Canis lupus familiaris: one gene and its partner. The protein of the gene in region 2 purifies or fractionates together with the protein of the main gene of each other region. This does not show direct contact. Links are inferred from orthologs where the notes say so. Each region holds a gene or a part of one and is shown on either strand. Other genes may lie near its edges. The genes, in order: CEP20 and OFD1.

Region 1 (4,437 bases), on a different chromosome or scaffold from region 2:
TGTGTGTGTCTATCTACTTTAAGAAATACACCAAAAGCCAGGTCACAACATTCTTACCCAAAACAGAAATTAAAAAAAAAAATACTTCTTTGTTTTCTATTTGTTCCATCCCATCTCATTGAAAATATGTTCATTGGGAGCCACTGATAAATAGATTTCAGAACCTACTATGGGTTAAGACTAGCAATTTAAAGGGCACTGTTCTGGGATCTAGGTCACAGGCATAGACCTTCCTGGCAATGGAAGGAATCACATAACTGGATTCCTAACTGGAAGCACAGAGTCTCACACTCAGTTTTGGGTAAATTATCTCCATTATTCCCATGTTTTTTCTTCTTCATATATTTGGGATGGTAGAGTTTATTCGTTCCTCAATTATTCACAAATAGCTTTTGGACTCCTTAGGAGCACTACCCATAATTAAGTGCCAGGGGAAGAGAACAGGCTTTGAACAGCAAGAGGCCTGGATGCAAATCTCACCTCCACCATTTGCTCATGATCTTGATTTAAGCCTTATCGGTCATCCAAGACTCCGTTTCCTCCTCTGTAAAATGGGAGTTACAGTAGAGAAATCACTGAGCCAACATATATAAAGCATTTAGCACAGTGTCAGGCTCACAGTTAAGTCCTTAACACAGTGAGACCAGCAGCACCAGCAGCACCAGAGAACTTGTCAGAAATGCAGTTCTTGGAGGGCGCCTGGGTGGCTCAATGGTTGAGCTTCTGCCTTTGGCTCAAGTCGTGATTCCTAGGTGTGATCCTGGGTTCCTGGGATCAAGTCCTGCATCAGGCCCGCTGCAGGGAGCCTGCTTCTCCCTCTGCCTATGTCTCTGCCTCTCTCTCTCTGTCTCTCTAAAATAAAATAATTAGAATAGAATAGAATGCAGTTCTCAGATCTCACTCTGGATTGACTACATCAGAAACCCCAGCGGTGGGGCCCCATGATTCCTAGGTGTGATCCTGGGTTCCTAGGATCAAGTCTTGCATCAGGCTCGCTGCAGGGAGCCTGCTTCTCCCTCTGCCTATGTCTCTGCCTCTCTCTCTCTCTCTCTCTCTCTCTCTCACTGTGTCTCTCTAAAATAAAATAATGAATAGAATAGAATAGAATAGAATGGAATGGAACGGAATGGAATGCAGTTCTCAGATCTCACCCTGGCTTGACTACATCAAAAACCCCAGCGGTGGGGCCCCGTGATGTTTTAACAAATCTTCCAGGTGATTCTGAGGCACGTTCAAGTTTGAGAAACACAGGCTTAATACTTGGTAACCATTGACAATCAGTCCCTGAGCCTGCAGCGATGAGCAGTGGGCAGAGCACGGAAGGACTGATCAACCACAGTGCAGCACTAAAGAGCCGGCAGCATCTGCAGGTGAGGTCTCTAACTGGTCTCGGGGCCGGCTCCTCCCACCTCCTCCCTCAGCACCTAGAGAGCTCGCTGATTGGTAGGATCCCTCCGGACCGTCACCACCCACCCAATCCGGGAGGGCGAAAACTGAAAGGGGCGGGACTGAGCAGCGCGAGAGGGGCGCGCCTATTGGCTGTAGACCGGCGCTGCGCGTGCGCACAGCCGACGCGCGCCCGTGACTGCCGGTTGAAAGATGGCGACTGTCGCGGAGCTGAAGGCTGGTGAGTTCGAGTGGGCGGTGTGCAGGGTGAACCGCGCCTGGTCTTCCTCCCGTGAAGAGGATGGGCTGGAAGGAGAGCGCGCGGAACACAGAGTTAGCCTTTCCGGGGGTCGCTGCGCGGCGTCAGGGCCCGCAAGGCGTCCGGCTGGCGTGGCGGCCGCTGCGCCGGGGGCGGGGGGAGGGGTCCTGGGGGAGAGAAGCGGTTGCTCGGGACCAGCTGGGCGGGTCCCAGGTGCGCCGTCGAGCCGAGGAGATGCTGCGCGACCCGCAGGTTCCCGAGAGGTCTGCAGTCCTGCTCGGTGGGCCTCCGGCGCTTTTGTCGGAGCCCTGTCGGGCCGAGGCTCTGGGCTGCCCCTTTCGTCGGGGGCTGAGGATTTCGTCCCCCTCCGTGATCGGGCCTCGGCGCGACCCCGAACCATTAGCTTACCTGTCTCACCGAAGCCTTGCCGCACCCTGCGGGTTGGGTCCCGGTCCCCGTCGGGAAGGCCTGCCCTGGCCACGCTCCTGTGGTTTTTGTTTTTTGTCCTCCCCCCCCCCCTCCCCCCAGCAAGAGTTCCGCAAAGGTGCGAGTCATCGAGCGGGATGGTGTTTGCGCACCGTTGGTTTTTAAACTTTTTTTTTTTTAAGGTTTATTTGTTTACTTATGATAGAGACACACAGAGAGAGGCAGAGACACAGGCAGAGGGAGAAGCAGGCTCCACGCCGGGAGCCCGACGTGGGACTCGATCCCGGGACTCCAGGATCGCGCCCTGGGTCAAAGGCAGGCGCTAAACCGCCGCGCCACCCGGGGATCCCCGCACCGTTGGTTTTAACCGAGGTGTCCAAGCAGCGAACAGTAGTCGGAGGCGAGAAGCGACCGAGCCTTCCGTGTCAGGCCCTGCCCAGCCCCCCTGTGTTACCCAGTGGAGTCTGTGTGACACCCTAGGCCTGTGTAGGTCGTGAGAAATGAAGGTGCAGGGAGTTGCAATAGCTCGCGCCAAGTAACCGAGCTAGAAAGAGGCAGTGCGAGGCAGTGCGTGAGAACCTGGGTTTGCTCCCCCAGCTCTCCCCACCTCCCGGAGCTCCACGTCTTCATCCCTGGGTCATACTGCTACCCGATTAAGAACACTAGTTCCGGTTTTCAGGGACCTTAAATGAGCTCTTAATGAGTCATTTTTTTTAGAAAAGATTTTATTTATTTATTCATTCATAAGAGGCAGAGACACAGTCTGAGGGAGAAGCAGGCTCCCTGCAAGGAGCCCCCATGGGGGACTCAATCCCAGGTCTCCAGGATCACGCCCTGGGCCCAAGGCAGCAGATGCTCAACCGCTGGGCCACTCAGGTGCCCCTAAAAAGGTCATTCTTAAATACCTAGTGAGGAGGGGTTGAATCTCTTTTGAGGGTAGAGTTCAGTAAGCATTGATACAAATGTGTATTTGGGGCATTGGGCTCATGAATGGTCATAAAAAAAGGCATGCCTTTATCCACAAGGAATAGTCTTTTAAGTGAATCCGAGCACCCTCTCTGCACGAAATCCATAACACGTGTAAATCAGAGGATTTTTTTTGTTTTTTTTTTTCTTTTTTATTGGTGTTCAATTTGCCAACATATAGCATAACACCCAGTGCTCATCCCACCAAGTGCCCCACTCAGTGCCCATCACCCAGTCACCCCAAACCCCCACGCCCACCTCCCCTTCCACCACCCCTTGTTCATTTCCCAGAGTTAGGTGTCTCTCATGTTTTGTCACCTTCACTGTAAATCAGAGGATTTAAAGATGCTTTGGGATATCAGGCCAGGTTAAGAACCTCTTTTTTTTTTTTTAAAGATTGCATTTATTTATTCATTAGACACAGAGGGAGGCAGAGGGAGAAGCAGGCTCCCTGCAGGCAGCCTGATGCAGAACTCCATCCTAGAACCCTGGGATCAGGATCTGAGCCAAAGGCAGAAAAAGCTCAACCACCGAGCCATCCAGGCATCCCAAGAACCTCTTTCTGAAGTTGTTGCTAGGGTACAGAGTTTTAAGCATAGTTAGAGAAAGTTTAAGACTCAGTTGGTATGCAACCTGAAAAGAAAATGTAATAGGAGATTAGGAGTGTCCTATGCAGATATATCCCTACATGTATCCTTTTATGTTTTTTTCTTCTGCATTTCCCACTTCAGAATATGCTGTGTGTTCCAGAGAAACTTTGTTTTTTTTTAAGATTTTATTTATTTATTTATTCATGAGAGACAGAGTGAGGCAGAGACACAGGCAAAGGGAGAAGCAGGCTCCATGCAGGAGCCTGATGTGGGACTCGATCCGGGATCCCCAGGATCATACCCCCGGCCAAAGGTGGCGCTAAAACGCTGAACCACTGGGGCTGCCCCCAGAGAAACTTCTTGAAAATTTATTTCCCACTCAATCATTTTACATTGTATGGGCTTTTACCTTTTTCTTTTTCCTTAAAGAGGGGCAAGTGGGAAGGAGCAGAGGGAGAGGGAGAAAGAGAATCTTGAGTAGGCTCCATCCCCACTGTAGAGCCCAATGCAAGGCTGCATCTCAGGACCCTGAGATCATAACCTGAGCTGAAATCAAGAGTCTGGTCCTTAACCAACTGAGCCACCTGAGTGCCCCTGGGCTTTTACCTTTTTAAACATTTTCACATTTTCCACCTCACTTGGTTCTGCCTCTGAGATGTAGGACTCCGTATGTTGCAGAGGGCAGCTGAGGCATAAGCTGGTGATGACACAGGATAGGCTTCCTAATTCCAGCTTCATTAATTCTCATTTCTCTGCTGAGTTTGAGGTTATGTTGCATGCAAATTCAGAGTAATTGGGGGATCTCTGGGT
Region 2 (3,811 bases):
TTAGTTTCTCATGGTTAAGAGTAATATTTACTGGATGACAGTAAGCTGCTGCCACCTTCTTGAGAATCACATTTATCAAAATACACCGAAATAAAGTTGGATAAAATCCTACTGATAAATTACTGGCCTTTGGGAATATACAAAAGGTTAAGCACTAAGGTTCACAAAAATGTAGTTAAGACAGTATTTTTTTATTTTGTAAAATTAAAATAACAAACAACATATCATTTTTGTAGTAACAAGATAGTGTAAGCTGTGTCTTTTTTAGAATATAGAACAGGCCCAACTAGGAAACCAACAGCCTACACATCGGCGCTGAAAAATACAGCTTGCCCCCAGAGTCACCTTTATTCTTCCTTTCATCGTCAATCAGCCTGTTAGTTCTGGCGATGTAGTCGTCCTTTAGTTCGAGTTGATACCTACGAATCAGAAGAACTAAACATGAGCTCCCTGTCACAATCCTGGATGGTCTACCATCAACACGTGAGCTTATCTATGACACCTGGGGCACATAAGGGCATCAACCACGGTGACACGTAAACCCCAGGCTCTCTCAAGACTAAAGCCAGGGATCTGAATTCTCAACATCAAAGGTCCGTCCGTAAACCTCTGCTATGATCCTATAAATTCGGTCCCAAAACTCAATCACACAAAGTGAAGGGCTCTGTTGTCATGAGGTTACTGAGAGCAGGGATTCCTCTTGGTCTCGACAGATGCCAAGAAGTAAATTAAGGTAACATGACAGACACTAAATCCCAGATGATAACCAAGTCAGTCACTTGCAATTCACCTATCCCACATCCCCTCTTCTTAGGTAAGAACTTTTGCCCTTCAAGACTGAGCACAGTATTGAGAGCACCAACTGCCAACAGCATCAGACCTGAATTAGTGGTACCCAAAGGCACATCTCAAGGGGCTTCCACCATCTCCACCAGCTGTTAGCAGTCAACTTTCTGGTTCAGAGGTCAGAGAAAGGAAATGAAAGAGAAGTGCTCCTATGATATCCCCCCAACTTCAACACTTGCTAACGGCTGAGGACACCCAAAGCCAGACAAATGATACCAAACAGTTCACTGCATCCACAGCTATGCAAAGTTAAAGCACACATTTTTCTCATTTGTCACAGTTTAACAACTAGAGTTACTTCAGTGTTTGCTAGTATGTTAGAGGAGCAGATATAAAATATGTAGATAAAATCCATTTCAAAACTGATACAAAGAAAAGGTGCTGCTTTTCCTTTTTAACAGAATTCTTTTATTTTATTTTATTTTTTATGATAGTCACACACACACAGAGAGAGAGGCAGAGACACAGGCAGAGGGAGAAGGAGGCTCCATGCACTGGGAGCCCGACATGGGATTCGATCCCGGGTCTCCAGGATCGCGCCCTGGGCCAAAGGCAGGCGCCAAACCGCTGCGCCACCCAGGGATCCCCAACAGAATTCTTTTAAACAATAACCTCCAGAAACCTTTGCGGGTACTATGTAATGGAATTCCAATGACAAATTATGAGCAAGGCAATAAAAAGGAGACCAATGACCTTAATCAGAGGAGCTGAGTGGAGTCATCTCTTCACTACACATGCATTTACTCAATTGGTATCAACTGAGCACTTATTATGTGCCAGATGCTATACCACGCACTGGAGGGAAAGTTTCCATATGGGCTTAATGTATTTGCACAAAGGTATTATTCACCAGAACACAAAACTCAGGCTATAGGAAAGCCCCAGGGACCACACTTGTCCACATTCTCCTCTCCTATGCTGTTTTTTTGCTTCATATGATTATTTGGCTTTTTTCTGGATTTTGGCTTTCCAGAACCTTGAAGGAATACAAGGCACATGATAGATAAACACTCTAACCAGGTAAGAAGACCAAAGTAGGGATCCCTGCGTGGCTCAGCGGTTTAGTGCCTGCCTTTGGCTCAGGGCGTGGTCCTGGAGACCCAGGATCGAGTCCCACATTGGGGTCCCTGCATGGAGCCTGCTTCTCCCTCTGCCTGTGTCTCTGCCCTCTCTCTCTCTCTCTCTCTCTCTCTCTGTGTCTCTCATGAATAAATAAAATATTAAAAAAAAAGACGAATGTATACATTATTGCCTATCCCCATCTTAGTGCCAGTATGAGGAGAAAACAGAACAGAAAGTGATTTTAATTCCAACTTTACAGCTGCTTAGCCGTGCAAAATGAGCAAGTGCTAAGGTTCCCTAAAAATTGAAGCAAACCTTAGGCCCTCAGTAAGTGTCAGAGAAGCTACAAATAAGAATGAGCAGAGGATGCCATTCTCTGTATCTTTTTAAACTCATCTTAAATAATCAAGGGAAAGGCTTGATTACTAATGAAAATATGTTTTTTAAACATTGAATTTTGCCATCATTTATCTGTCTTATCTACTTCATCAGTGTTGCCATGTTTCTAGCAACTTATTTTAACACAGGATTCCTTTAAAAATGCCAAGCAATTACTTGAGAAGTTCATTCTTGAGCTTCTGGTCATAGCTCTCCTCAATGCTCTTTATATTCAGCTCCCGCTTCCTAAGTGCATCAGTTATGCTTTTATTTTGTTCTTCTTGTAGCCTTTGAGCCCTGAAATTAGCAAAAATAGAGAAAGCAAATAAGGAAACCACGACATCTGAAGTAAGAAACTTTATGGGGAAAAAATAACTTGTGTTTTAGTTCCACAGGCTAAAACTGTAATATGGCTACCACTGCCAGGAAATAAACTGTAAGAACCTGAAGTCCTCCATCTATTTTATGAACTGACTCAGTTCATAAACAAGCAGATGGAATTACCTGGTGGCACCTGGCTAAAGGCAGTGTGAATGTATCAAGACCAAAGTGGTTGCTTATAGAAGATGATCCACACTCAAAAAGGGTTACAGGGGATAAATGGTCATAATCAATTTAGGGGTAAAAGGGTGAGGTTTTTAGTTACAAAGCTACAAACCAAACTCTAGTGTACTTAAATGCTTGTTTCTTCTAGAATATTATTTCTAACTGTGAGACTTAATTGACTAGCCCATAAGAATTATAGATAGAAGATTTGTTTCCGGCATTTAAAAAATCCATCAATTGAAGGTTGAAAAGAGTGCCAAAATAGCAAACGATGGATGAGTCCATTAGAACCTCCAAATCCGAAGAATGGGAGTGCTTTTCATGGGGAGACCTTCAATCACCCACAAAACCAATTCCAGAGCCTAGGATCAGGTTCACAAGTACTTAGTCTAAACGGTAGTGAGGAGGGCTACAAACACTCTGTTCCAAGCAAAGGATAAAGGCTTTGTGTTAGAGGATCCCTGGGTGGTTCAGGGGTTTAGCGCCTGCCTTTGGCCCAGGGTGTGATCCTGGAGTCCCGGGATCGAGTCCCACATCGGGCTCCCTGCATGGAGCCTGCTTCTCCCTCTGCCTGTGTCTCTGCCTCTCTCTCTAGATCATGAATAAATAAAATCTTTTTTTTTTTTAATGAATAAATAAAATCTTAAAAAAAAAAAAGGCTTTGCGTTAGAGCTCCCTCTCCTGACTAATCTTAAACCAAAGGAGCATTAAATCCATTTATTTCATTTAATAGACTTAGACAAGAGAAGTAGGGGACGACGAGGTAGGGAAGTGATTATATAATTATGATTATATCAAGAATCTGCCCAAATTTTGTTCCTTTTCTTTTTTCTCTCGTTATCAATGTGTCATTTTAGTATCGCCAAAAGGAGAGTAAGGTAGGCAGAGAGAAATCAAACGAACAGAGCCTATGTAAATGAAAAAACAACATTAATAAAGATGGAGACAAACTCTTAAAATCAGATTCCTGGAGTATCTA

The links.
Region 1: the proteins of OFD1 (region 2) and CEP20 purify together in Homo sapiens (co-immunoprecipitation; 3 studies listed by BioGRID and IntAct, with this or other methods). This does not show direct contact. The link is inferred for Canis lupus familiaris from reciprocal best matches to the Homo sapiens genes OFD1 and CEP20.

Annotation. Positions count from the first base shown.
Region 1 is NC_049227.1:28,276,744-28,281,180, forward strand, and holds the start of CEP20 (centrosomal protein 20), read left to right. Parts: upstream 1-1,529; 5' UTR 1,530-1,599; coding exon 1,600-1,627; intron 1,628-4,437. UniProt on the Homo sapiens protein: Involved in the biogenesis of cilia. Required for the recruitment of PLK1 to centrosomes and S phase progression.
Region 2 is NC_049260.1:10,215,447-10,219,257, reverse strand, and holds part of OFD1 (oral-facial-digital syndrome 1 protein), read right to left. Parts: intron 2,584-3,811; coding exon 2,464-2,583; intron 420-2,463; coding exon 346-419; intron 1-345. UniProt on the Homo sapiens protein: Component of the centrioles controlling mother and daughter centrioles length. Recruits to the centriole IFT88 and centriole distal appendage-specific proteins including CEP164. Involved in the biogenesis of the cilium, a centriole-associated function.